3 linked regions of the Oryzias latipes genome follow. The protein of the gene in region 3 binds, or shares a complex with, the protein of the main gene of each other region. Links are inferred from orthologs where the notes say so. Each region holds a gene or a part of one and is shown on either strand. Other genes may lie near its edges. The genes, in order: mlst8, rictor and mapkap1.

Evidence for each region.
Region 1: the proteins of mapkap1 (region 3) and mlst8 are in contact, whole or in part, in a cryo-EM structure (PDB 7PE8), measured with the Homo sapiens proteins. The link is inferred for Oryzias latipes from reciprocal best matches to the Homo sapiens genes MAPKAP1 and MLST8. Residues at the interface, in NP_001006618.1 of Homo sapiens: Lys102, Cys103, Lys104, Asn105, Ile106, Gln107, Trp108, Lys109, Arg111, Asn112, Ser113, Lys121, Leu123, Phe124, Glu125, Lys126, Lys127, Ser128, Leu129, Gly137, Lys138, Gln139, Ser140, Ile141, Leu142, Val144, Arg145, Leu146; in NP_001186102.1 of Homo sapiens: Ala29, His30, Pro77, Ile78, Ile79, Ser80, Tyr81, Asp82, Gly83, Arg98, Arg110, Ile111, Trp112, Gln120, Cys121, Gln122, Arg123, Ile124, Asn139, Gln140, Ala141, Leu157, Lys158, Ile203, Glu206, Ser279, Gly280, Asp281, Gln283, Asp322.
Region 2: the proteins of mapkap1 (region 3) and rictor are in contact, whole or in part, in a cryo-EM structure (PDB 7PE7), measured with the Homo sapiens proteins. The link is inferred for Oryzias latipes from reciprocal best matches to the Homo sapiens genes MAPKAP1 and RICTOR. Residues at the interface, in NP_001006618.1 of Homo sapiens: Ala2, Phe3, Leu4, Asp5, Asn6, Pro7, Ile9, Ile10, Leu11, Ala12, His13, Ile14, Arg15, Gln16, Ser17, His18, Thr20, Ser21, Asp22, Asp23, Thr24, Met26, Cys27, Met29, Val30, Leu31, Ile32, Asp35, Val36, Ser84; in NP_689969.2 of Homo sapiens: Arg108, Gln137, Glu140, Thr144, Leu147, Arg148, Arg151, Lys152, Thr155, Arg182, Met183, Arg185, Ala186, Ala189, Cys192, Glu193, Leu196, Leu220, Arg222, Ile223, Glu225, Ala226, Leu227, Thr229, Thr230, His233, Asn236, Arg293, Trp295, Glu844.

The regions. Positions count from the first base shown.
Region 1 is NC_019877.2:3,130,943-3,135,118, reverse strand, and holds the start of mlst8 (target of rapamycin complex subunit LST8), read left to right. Parts: upstream 1-1,247; 5' UTR 1,248-1,496; coding exon 1,497-1,625; intron 1,626-2,138; coding exon 2,139-2,190; intron 2,191-2,260; coding exon 2,261-2,423; intron 2,424-2,495; coding exon 2,496-2,571; intron 2,572-2,647; coding exon 2,648-2,800; intron 2,801-2,883; coding exon 2,884-3,008; intron 3,009-3,090; coding exon 3,091-3,254; intron 3,255-4,176. Other genes in the region: meiob (meiosis-specific with OB domain-containing protein), read left to right, coding at 49-235, 328-414, 498-611.
Region 2 is NC_019867.2:18,765,682-18,769,799, forward strand, and holds the start of rictor (rapamycin-insensitive companion of mTOR), read right to left. Parts: upstream 2,820-4,118; 5' UTR 2,802-2,819; coding exon 2,753-2,801; intron 2,628-2,752; coding exon 2,580-2,627; intron 318-2,579; coding exon 220-317; intron 1-219. UniProt on the Homo sapiens protein: Component of the mechanistic target of rapamycin complex 2 (mTORC2), which transduces signals from growth factors to pathways involved in proliferation, cytoskeletal organization, lipogenesis and anabolic output.
Region 3 is NC_019870.2:25,040,446-25,044,776, forward strand, and holds the start of mapkap1 (target of rapamycin complex 2 subunit MAPKAP1), read left to right. Parts: upstream 1-1,431; 5' UTR 1,432-1,617; intron 1,618-4,331. UniProt on the Homo sapiens protein: Component of the mechanistic target of rapamycin complex 2 (mTORC2), which transduces signals from growth factors to pathways involved in proliferation, cytoskeletal organization, lipogenesis and anabolic output.

The sequences.
Region 1 (4,176 bases), on a different chromosome or scaffold from region 3:
TCCTTCTTTCCTTCCATCTGTCCGTGCTTCGATTTGGGCTTTTTTCAGCTCTAAATGTAGGTTCCTGCTGACGGCGGACATGCAGAGCTGCGGTAACCAGCTGTGTCCGGGCGGGGAGCAGCCGTTCTCAGGCACCACAGGCTTCGACCTGCTGGTGGACCTGACCGACCACACCGGCACGCTGCAGGCCTGCAGCCTCCGGGGCGCCACGGCGGAGCAGACGCTCGGCTGCTCGGTCGGTAACTCCTCAGAGGCTGAGGGGGGGGGTCAGCTCCAAACTGCTGAGATCCACAGACTTCTCTTAAATATGCTGCTGCCTGCTTCCAGACGGACGAGTTCATCCGTCTGACCGATGATCAGCGCACCGCTCTCAAGTGGAAGTTTCTTCTGGAAAGATGCAAAATATACCTGAAGGTATTCCAGCCTTCAAAAGGCATGTTTTTTTTTTTTTTGTCTTTGTGATGTGTTTTTATTGTTCATGAGATCGTCTGCCGCAGATCCTTCCCTCTGCGAGAACGAAAAGCGGCATCAGGGGGGTGATCCTGGCCTGCTCTCCGGCCGACCCAGGAGAGGTGAAGCAGCATATGTCGGCTGTTCTGCAGCAGCTTTGAACCAGCAATGCGAAGTCTGTTCTATTTACATTTGTTCTGCGCTAATTACAATGTAAACAGATGCTTCAACTGTTATTTATTTATTTATTCTTATTTATTTAACTTATTGATATAAATTGATTTATTTAAAAAAAGGCGTTAAATTGTTCCTGTTTAATAAAGTTGTGTTTTGAAAAAAAATTCTGATTTATTATCACAAAATACAATTAAAAAAGAAAAAAAAAACAAAAGCAACTGTTATAAAAAAAAGTATATTTAAAATAAAAAGAATGATGTAGATTTTATGTAGCGACAATAAATGCTTTATTTAAAGCAATTTTAACCATAAAAAAAGAAAAATATGTATTAAAATTTTGAATTCATAAAAATGATTAAAAAGAAATAAAACAATATGTTTAAATATTTTTTGACATATTACTCTGAATCATAAGGAGACATATTTGCACATTTATTGTAATGATTGCCAAATAAAAGTTGATTAATTACCTGAAAGAGTGTGGGAAAAGGCGATTTTATGATTCTACCTCTATTATGATTTATTTTTTATTATTATTATTTTACATCGTTGCATTCCTGCATTTAAACAATTTTTTTTTCAAAGCGGAACGTTTGACACACTTCTGTGTTTATCGGGGACGCGTTAGTCAGACGTACCGCAGTCGCGAATGATGGCTTCAGGAAATCTGTAAAGCGAATTCTTATCAGATTTTTAGATGTTTTCTCACATTCAGATATTTTTAAAACGGCTTTTCTTTAAAAGAGTTAACTTCAAAAAGCTTGAGCTGACGTCGTTGGCCGATCGTTTGGACCGAGTTCGTCAGATGTAACTAAGTGGACTGACGGGTTCTGGTGTTGTTTGTAACCGTGACACACTAGCGGAGAAGCATGAATGTCAACCAGGGCACGGTGGGCAGCGACCCGGTTATCCTGGCCACGGCTGGATACGATCACACAGTCCGGTTCTGGCAGGCCCACAGCGGGATCTGTACCCGGACGGTGCAGCATCAGGACTCGGTATCCTTTCCCTGGTTAGAACGGTTCGGTGAGAGCTCTCTGTTTACATGCGCTACCGCTGGCTTACAGCCGCTCACACCCCAACCTGACGAAATGGCCCCCAATTTCGGAGCTTTACTGAATTGAAAAACAAAATTATGACTTTAGTCTCGTAAAATTTTACATTTTTATTGTTGTTTATACTTTTACAAATTTATTAGTGTAATTTTTTTTTACTTTTTAATAATAATTTTACTACGGAACGGTATTATGTTAAATAAAAATAAAATACAGGTGACCTTTGCTCTAACTTGTTTGACATAATCCGTTTTTGTTTTGTTTTTGTTTGATTCACCACACACACTAAAAATAAAACCATCAACTGTTAATTAAATGCAATAGGCTTAATATTTTACAGCATTATTCTCATACATAATATGTATTTTGTTGTAGAAAAATGCTATAAAAGGCATATATATGCTAAATACCTCAAAAACGCGACTTTCGGAGTGGGCCTTTAACTCGTCATTTCAGCAAGTGAATTCCCTTGAAGTGACCCCGGACAGAAGCATGATCGCCGCCGCAGGTCAGTCCAAACTCTCCCATTTGAAGGCTGCGCGGCGTTTCACTGCGCGTTCCTCCTCTTCCTCCTGCAGGGTATCAGCACATCCGCATGTACGACCTGAACTCCAACAACCCAAACCCCGTCATCAACTACGACGGAGTCAGCAAGAACATCACCTCCGTGGGCTTCCATGAGGACGGACGCTGGATGTACACCGGAGGAGAGGACTGCATGGCTCGCATATGGGACCTAAGGTACGGCGGTTCACCTCCACCGCACACCCCGGCAGAAATCCACTCTGCTGTTATCAACCCTCCTCCTTTCAGGTCAAGAAACCTGCAGTGTCAGAGGATCTTCCAAGTAAACGCTCCCATCAACTGTGTGTGTCTTCATCCCAATCAGGTATCCTCAAAGCTGCACAGGTGTTTGATGTGGATTTATCTGTAGATTTGTCAGCGTTTTGTGATTTTTCTTTTAGGCGGAGCTGATTGTTGGGGATCAGAGTGGCGTGATTCACATCTGGGACCTGAAAACGGACCACAACGAACAGCTGATTCCAGAGCCAGAAGTCTCGGTGAACTCTGTCCACATCGACCCCGATGCCAGCTACATGGCAGCCGTCAACAGCTCGGTGCGTCCCCAAACTGAACATGGGACGCAAAAACTGGGGTTGGAGAGAAACTAGAGTGAGGTTCCTGTTCCCCCCCCCAACAGGGAAACTGTTACGTGTGGAACCTGGCTGGAGGGATGGGAGACGAAGTGACGCAGCTCATTCCAAAGACGAAGATCCCGGCGCACAAACGATACTCGCTGCGCTGCAAGTTCAGCCCCGACTCCACGTGAGGCTTTTTGTTGTTTCTGCCTGACGTGAGGCCAAACAGAAAAAAAACCTCATTGATGTTTCTCCTTGAATGTCTCCAGACTACTGGCCACCTGCTCAGCGGATCAGACCTGCAAGATCTGGAGGACGTCCAACTTCTCCCTGATGACGGAGCTGAGCATCAAAAGCAACAACCCCGGGGAGACGTCCCGAGGCTGGATGTGGGACTGCGCCTTCTCCGGAGACTCGCAGTACATCGTTACAGGTGCGTACCTTCACCTTTGGGTCTGTCCCCTTGTCCCGCTGAGTTTTTAAAGTTAAAAATGGCATGTTTTAGCAAACTTTAATATAAAATTAAAGCCGTAAACGGCGTTGCATGACCTGCAGAGGACACTGCCCCCTTTTGAACCGCCTTCACCCTCCCCTTCTGCCAGTCTGGTCACAAATTCATGAAAGAGAACACTTTTATTCAAAAGTGCGGCTTTTCTGATGGTTTTATCTCCATGGCAACCATTTCAGTTTTTGGTCACCGCGGGGTGACGAACAGGTTTCGGTCATTTTTAGAAGAATCTGCAAAAGTAGATTTTTGGATTTCCTTAGCAACGTAGGATTTTTGTTAACCACACCCACATTTCTTATATGTTCATATTGTTTGTCATATCGTTTGGTTCAGCTTGAGCAGAGGTGCGCTCCATTTTCTCAATATTCCGGTAAAAAATGCGCCCACAACAGGAAATCGCCACTTTTGTGAACTCGCCGTTCAAAATCCACAAACTTTATTTCCAAAATTCCAATTAGTTTCCCAAGGACACCGCTCCAGGAGTCAGGAGGCGATTCTTAGGAGGAGTTTAAATTTGTAGCTGGGACTAAACGGGATAAATATGTATTTTTTTACAAAATTCAAGATGGCAGCTTCTTCCCGAGGTCAAAGGTCAATGAAACTTCAGCTCTTGTTGAAGACTTTTGAATTGTAAATTGTAGAATAAATTGTAGACGAATGTGAAAATCACCAAACGTCACTCTCTGCCACACAGTGACCACCAAGCCGTGGCACCTGTGGCCATCCCATAATAATTAAAAAAACTTCCTTCCAATCTGGTCGTCGTAGTCCAGGATTATTGCGGGGCGGAGTAATAATCCCGGTTTTTATCATTATCCAGCTGTTTCTTTAATGTTAGGAATCAGTT
Region 2 (4,118 bases), on a different chromosome or scaffold from region 3:
AGTTTTATAGCCAGCAGGTTATTCTAGTTGAATAGAAGCTTATGATGCATTTCTATCCCCAGAGCTTTTTTTTTTTTTTAATCTAAACTGTGGTATAAACCTCAGCAGGTCAGCAGCTACATTTCAGAGGAAGAGTAGTTGATCAGTCATTCAATATATCTACAGTCATCTTCCTTAAAAAGCTGCATGTGGAGCAAAAAAATGCTGCAGCATTCTTACCTTTATGAAGTTGTTCAGGTGGCCCAGTTTTCGCATGTTGCTAACTCCGTGTGGTTTAGCCACATTTTGAAGAATTTCCCGGAAGTTTTCTGATGGTTCTAGAGGGAAACAAAAAGACCATTTCAGTGGACAAAATAGCTCTGTGGTTACAGGAGAAAAGGAAAGGGCTATCAATTAGTTTACTAGTTTTACGTTTATGCAGTCAAAACTAGACCTTTATAGCAAAAAGCAAAGTCGAGCAAGTTAGACTTTGCTTTCCAACAATTCATCTAATGTTAATTATTTGATAAAATATTAAAACACTTGCGAGGTTATTTCATATGTAGACATCTAATATCTGTAGAAACTAATGTCAGATATACCAATCAATGAAGAAATCCATTTCACAAACACGTAAATAGACCATCCTAATCCCAGATTATGTTTTAAATTGTCTTATATTATCTCTCCATAAAAAAAACTGATATTTTAACAAGATTTAGAACTTCAAATACAAAGGGGGAAAAATCCGTACAGCTACAAAACAAAACAATAGAATACCACGAAAATGGTTTAACTGAGGTTGACATTTAAGAAGATTTCCTATATGATGCTAAGATAAAAGTATCAAAAGCAAAAAGGCAAACAAGCACTGGTGTATAAATATACCTTAAACTTTAGCTTCTTATCCGTGAAGCAAAAATCGATCAATCGTTTAAGAAACAGTGGTGTTATTGCATTATAAACGTTCCTGGGGGGTAATCCAGGAAGCATGTTTAAACTACCCTGACTTTAACCCTGAACTCTGGCTGAAATCTCAAATTTACATATTTTTCTAACTAAATGTCATATTACTCCAATTCAATTAAATGTCTTTCCATCTTAATTTATTGTATTTCTTGAACTCTCATATGTCTACATTTGAGCCTGTAGATATTCTCATTTTTATAACATTAAAATGAATGAAACAATATAGATTCACAACACAAAACTTAAAGTCATTTATCCTTTCTCTGACTTTGACATTACAACACTGAGCAGTAGGGGTGCTAAATAACCTCATCATTCTCTCCCTCCCTCTCACTCATGGTGCAGAAAGAATTAAACACAACAGGACAAATAACTCGGAAATACACAGTAAAACAGATAAACAACTAAACACATTTGGTCAAAAACCCACACTTAAACCCAAATCCGTCCAGACAGGCAAAGGGAATGGTATCCCACAATTCCTTGCAGCGCCGATCTAACAGCAGCACCAAAGTTACACCTACTTAATTGAATTAATTTGAATTAAAGTAAAATAACTGTCTGATAACTTAGTGTTCTTTTTAAGCTCATGTAACAAAAAGAATGTATCTTAACTGAAGCAAATAATTAAGTTAGATTAATGTAAAAAAGTTCATCTTTCCAACATCCATACGTGGTCTTATCACCCTCTCATGGTGGAAAAAGTATTATCTGAGCTTCTTCATCCACTAAATCATCTTCAAATGGACACTGCATGCTCCTTCACCTCTCTGAAACCAACTAACCTTCAACTAAACCTGCTCCAGACCAGGTTATGTTCAGAGCATGAGTTGCTATAGCAACTTCACATACCCTGAAACATACCACTGTTTTTGGAACCAAAAGCTGAGGCTATCCGCTTCCTTAGCCTCAAACTTATCGTGGTAAATAGCATAACCTACTTTCTGGAATACCCCCCATCAATGGTTGAGTTTGTTCCAGTAAGATACGTTTTATATAAAAACCTAAGCTGACAAAAAACACAAACTATGTTCGTAATCGTTTTCCTAATTTAGGACCGAAATGTTTCCATCAGAACTCGTTGATCGTGCTTTTATCGTGAGTCAAGTGTGCCTAGCAGCCGCAAAAGGTTCCAAACAAAGAAAACAGCCGCTGGTTGGTGTAAACAAACAAGCAGACAGTGCTGTTGCTAGATGAGCAAATTTAACTCGGCTGAGCTGTGAATAAAAAAAAAAAAGCCCGTATGTGCATTGCTCAGCAAACCGGCTTAAGCTCAGGGTTTCTGACAGCCAGCGGAGCCTCGTGTATTAATGCAACTCTAATGGCTGTCTCGCTAAATAGCAGGCTCTGCAGCCCACTCACGCCTACCAAAACAACAGCGCATCGTCATGACTGGTTAGCTGTGGCAGCCAGCTAACGCTAAATCAGCTAGCTAGTTAGCTCCCTCTCGCCTGTTTATAGCCACAAAGGAAGATTTTTGAACAAAACAACAACAAATAAAACGTTTAATTAAAAATGCATCCACGTGGCAATCTCGTGGTTCATTTAGAGGTTCGTATATTTTGTGCATAAAGTCAACCATAATCCATTTTGAGCAATAATAGCTTTTAGAATGATGAGCCTCTGCTTACCTCTACTCAGATCCAGCGGTACGTTCTCCTCCCCGCTGTCATTCCGCCCTGACAAAAACAAACGCAACGGAAACGCTGAAGGACAAATTCAATGCTATGTTTTGTGGGAGACGTGCTCTTATTGCAATACGCTGCCATTCCAACAAATTATGAGCTGAGTTTTTCACGCTTACCTCGCATCCGAAGACTCCGGATAGGACGGCCGCGGAAGCTGGCCGCCATGTTTCCAGGAACATACACAACACCGGAAACTTCGCGGAATGTCGCGAGAACACGGACATCAAACGCAAATCGCTGCGGTGCAAATCACAGATCTGGGATCAGGCGAATCCCAGTTAATCCCTTAACCTCCAACGGCAATGAAAAAATAATCTGACCTGGCGACTGAACGACAGAAATAAACAGTTTAGTTAGCAGCAGTATTCGAGTTTTAATTGCAAATGTAATATTTATTTATTAATATTTTTCAGCATGACCAATTTGCTAAATTTGTTTTTATAAAAACAAATCTTAGTTTTTTTGTTTGAGTTTGTGTCATGGTTCATGTTTTCATGTATGATTGGGATTTAGTGACAGGAATAATTTGTGCAAAATGTTTTGTAATATGGTTTAAACGTATGTTTTTATCCTAACTTTAGGGAAATATTTAAGTTGAAAACAAAAAATAATATGTTCTAACTTGATTTAAGGCAAGTTGTGTTATGTTAAAGTTATTGTTACAAATAGGAAATATTCAAAGAATAAATAACAATAATAAGTACAACACAAGTAGTGCACATAATGGACCTGCTTAGAGGATTTGGACATCACTGCAGCTCCTTTTTCTGCACACATATCAGCAAAAACATAATTCTTTCATCTTCTCAGAGACTATTTTTGTTCAAACCCAAAGGGATTTTTGTTGCATTAGCCTGCTTAAATGATTTTGCAATTACAGAAAGACCTTGACCTACTTTTTCATTCCAACCTCATGAGTCTTGATCATGAGTCTTGATGTCTGTCGCTGTATAGTTTATGACAGCTGGTCCCACAGAGCTTGTTACTTGAGTTCATAGAAGTGTACTCTAAACGATGAACAATACATGAATTATTTTTAGCTTCTCTCTTGAGTAAAAAACGTGTTTGTTTTTACTAACGTTGTGATACCAAAGACTTCTTTCATGCAAAAAATTCAAGACGTGTAAATTACAGAATAACTGGTTCATTAAAAAACAGAGGTACCAAAAGTAAAAGACGAATGTTTCAACATTTTCAGTTGTTATATTATCATTTTTTTTTAAAAGCTGCAAGAAAACTCAGGTTGCTATGACCACATTAACCACTAGATGGCGCTAATGCTTTACGAACACAAACCAAGACAGAAAAAAGATGGCCACTTAACCGGATAATGATAAATCATGTTATAAAATGGTTACGGTAGAACAGGGGTGGGTTTATATAAGTTCGCTTCCTTCCACTCCCTTTCAAGCAATATTTATTTATATGATTAATTATCCAAAGTTTGATTAGTTGTGGTACGAATCTATAACTGATGATTGT
Region 3 (4,331 bases):
TAGCTGAAGTGTTAATATTTACATGGTGTGTTTCCGGTTTCGTGTAGCTAAACCCAGAGCGAGGGCCCACAGCGAGATCCGCTGCTGACCGCAGATAGCTCCGCCCCCTCCCACCGACTGCTACGATGCTCTTCAGTGGACGCCTCGCAGAAAACCTTCCACTTTACAGGCTCCGATTCATTTGTTCTATGGTTTATAAGGGGGACGCAGACAAATGAGGAAAAAGAAATTCAGGAACAAAACACAGCGCAGAATAGGGATGCTTTAAAACTCATTTTACCACGTGGTTTCATCATTAAAGCGGATTGTGGAGAAAGCATTTTTGCATCCTCAAAGCAAACCATACTGTGGGGCTGAAAAGGTTCAAGCCAATGATAATTGTGTTTGGTTTTAACGTGTTCTTTTAACATTTCTCTGATGATTGAGGAAATGTATAGAGAACATTTAGCTCAAAACTGCATTTTTTTGTATTTCTTTATTCAAATTGTTGTGAATCAGGAGCAGACGAAAAAGTTCTGTTAGGTAATGTTTGCAATGTGGTTACATAAATATACTTTTATGTTTGTGTATATATATATCCAGACAAATACCAGTAGATCCAATTTTTTTACTGTAAGATTGGATAAAGGCACAGGCAGTGGGGGGCAATGCCCCCCTAAATACAGTGACTGCCCCCTAAATGTGATGGGCCACAAAAATCCACAAATAACTACAGGAATAAAAAAATAAAACAACTACAAGTCAAAAAAATGTAAGTATTTATGTATATGGAAGGACACACAGGCAAAGATACATAAAAAGAAAAAGGGTAGTGGTAGAGGGTGGTCTTCTTCAAACTGCTCCTGATTCCAAACAATTTGAATAAATAAACACTCAGAAATGCCATTTTAAGCTGAATTTTCATTATGGATGTCCTCTATCATCAGAAAAATGAGAACATGAACATGTCAAAAACATGTTCTTGTGGCAAAAAATAAGAATTTCACCAGAGTGGGTCTTTAAAGAGAGAGATGGAAATCTGTTGACAGGTTCCACAAGTGTAATGGAAAGATGGAAGAACTTTGAAGATCTCAAAAATATCCATGTAAATAGAAAAGGTTCTTGCAAATTTTTGCTGCGATAATTCTTTTTACTCATGATCGCACGATTTTGCAGCCACATTTCTATTTCATGTGATGATACTTTGAACTTGCAAAAGCATAATTTTATCTTGCTCTGGCATCTCTCTCTCTTTTTTAACTTTTCTTTATTTTTTCACTTTCTAGTGTGAAGTGCATTTGGATGTGTGCACAACATTTTGTAAACGCTGAAATACTAGTAAGGAATAAAGGTGCATATAATTCAGTGTTCCTTTACTTTCACTGCCTCGGTCAGTGAACTGCTCTTGTGCGTGTTTTTCGTTTGGTGGCTCTTTTATTGTGAAGAGATTACACCGGAAGTCAAAAGGATGTCTTCCTGGTTGCACGAGCGCAGCAGATTGCATTGGCTTTCGGTTGTTTTGAGACTTTAATGCATTGAATTGTTTTTCACGGATGTAACGACTCGTCGGCCAAATAAGTAGACTGGATGAGATGGAGGGACGTGGACTCTGCTGTGTCTCGTCAGAAAAACGTAGAGGTGGGATCTTCTTTCTGTTCATACCACTGCTATTGCTAACTGACTCGGGAGAGATAATCGTTAGCTTGAGTTTAGTCACCGCTAACCGACTGTAATGCGATCTGTAAGCTGTTCCTGTCATGTTACACGCTTATAAAGTATGAATCACTTCAGTCTGTAGATCCTCCTGCTACTTTTTGGAGCAGCTGAAATGGATTTTGTTGTAATTCAGCTGGTTTAAGTGAGCCATTTTGGTTAGGAAAACAAGGTGCTGCTAACGCAAAACATGATGATGATCTGATAAATGTACACAGAACTTTTTAATCCGATTGTTTAACTTCTACCTTCTTAAAATGATAAACTCCGACACAAATTTGTATTTACTGACATGTGGTGTTTGTTTCAGTTGTGTCGTGTGTTTTACACGAGCGTGTTTTTCCTGTGAGAACTTTCCCCAGATAAGACTGTGTCCTCAGCTGAAATGACCGTCAGACATCATTTACAGCTGTTACAGTGGGAACTGTTACGTCATCACAGTGATTTCTGTGCTCATAATCCGTTTTCTTGATGGTGAAGTGTTCTTCTCAGCTGCCCATGCGCTCAGCGCCGTCATCTGCCTGTTGTAGCTGTCAACATCCGTGTTTAGACTAAACACTGTGAACAAACTTCGTGTTTTCAGATGTGACACGACTTCTGATTCTTCAAAAAAAAAAAAGTTAGCGTTGTGCCCAAACACTAAAAAACACTGGCATTTGTCTGATGATAGAGGACATATATAAAGAAAATTAGGCTCAAAACTGTATTTCTGAGTATTTCTGTGTTCACGTAGTTGTGAATCAGGAGCAGACAAAGAAATGCTGTTAGAAAAAGCTTGTTGTAACTGAAGCTACTGCAGAAAGCCACAAGCTTCCTGCCCCTCCTCATTCTAATGCATCCACTCATGGACAACTTGTTCCATGTACATCTTTGTTTTCCCTGTCTGAGCTGGAATCTGGATCAAAACTGTATGGCTGGACAGCGCCAATATTGCTCACCATTTTTATCGCAGTGCTCATGTTAAGGCCCGTACACACCGGGACGAATATTCGCCAGGCGTTATTCGCCAGCGTTTTTCGCCACGTTTTTTGTGTTCACACCCAGGCGATTTCCACTGACGATGAGCCGAGCGAACATGCAATTTCCTTCCCTGACATTAGATGGCGCTTAATGTAAACAGAAATACTCCTGTACACAAGGTGGCGCTGCGCAACTTTACGCTTATTAAAGTCGCTTTTCACTCAGAAGAAGAGAGCAAGTATTTACGCGCTTGTCAGAATCAAACAAAGAAAACATGAATATTTCAAGCACCAGTTGCTCCAACTGGTGCTTGGTTCGGGGATATTTTAGAATGTCCGTCATTATTTCTTCGCAGCAGTGTAGACGCTACTTGGCGTCTATCTTCTTCGCTGGTATGTGTGCTCAGCAAGGCAGTTTTGTGTTTGAGCGCCCCCAAGTTGTGTTTTACTGTAACTTCAGAAGCTCCAGACATGTGTGCAAAAGCGCCATTCTCATTGGTCGAATAGATTTCGACGCGACGCGTCGAAAAAAAAAAAACGAACCCGAGGCGTTTTTTTTTTTGACGCTTTGACGCCTGGCGTTTTTTCGCGTCGGTGTGCACACTCCCATTGGTGCCCTTTGTTTAGTCACGAGGCGTTAAACGTCGGCGAAAATCGCCAGCGAAATTCGTCCCGGTGTGAACGGGCCTTTAGGTTGGCGTTGTTAGAGGCTCTAAGCTAGTTGGAGAGACTGTAAACAGATTGGTGACGGGAAGTGGTGGTGGGCTAGCTATGTGCCACTGGTCAACTCAGAGAATCTCTAATGAACTCCTGCTGCTCTGCAGAAACCATGCCATAGAAAACTACACATAAAACAGCATAAACATAAAGAAAGACTTCTGAGAATGCTTTTTGCAATAGATCAAAAGATGATAGGAGCGGGACTTCAACATCAATATTGAAAATAACCAAAAAAACATGGTTCAAATACATTTTGGCAATTGACTGTATAAGAGAACTGGACTTGCCGACCCCTCCCCCTGGTGTTCCTAACAGGAAGTACGCGCTGGCCCCAAGAAGCCAAAATCCTATAGACTTCTATATAGAAATAAACAGCTGTTAATCAGTCATTCTGTTGGTCAGAATAACCATTCTTGCTCCGATACCTTTTTTGAACATGTTCTTGATAATCCTATTTTTTCTAATAATATTTTTTCTTTAGTACAAGCTAATCATGTTATAAACTGACCAATCATGGGTCTCAATAAAAGCGTGTGGCCTCATGTTCAAAGATTGATTAACAGATTTTGTGCAGTCCGCTTTAAGTGGTAGGGGTGTGGCCTTTCAACAAGCTCTCTCTGGATTTGTGAGAGTGGTTGCCATAACAATGTTGACTCTGATTGTCTTAGACCAATCACTCCTTGCTAACATTGTCTGACTCCCAACCTGGCGACGTCCACATTGCAAAAAATGGTGACTGAAGTTACTTCAATTGGTTGGAACCAGAAGTAAGCCAATTTTCTGTGAGTGACGTCACACTTACTCTGTCCAGTTCTCATATTCAGTCAATGAGTTGGATTGACCCACGCATTTCATAGTTCTAAACAAAAAGAAAATCTATATTCACAAACATTTTTCAAAACAAAACAAATATGTTCTAGTTGTCTGTCTGATCGTTTTTCTGGTTGTTTTCCTTTTTAC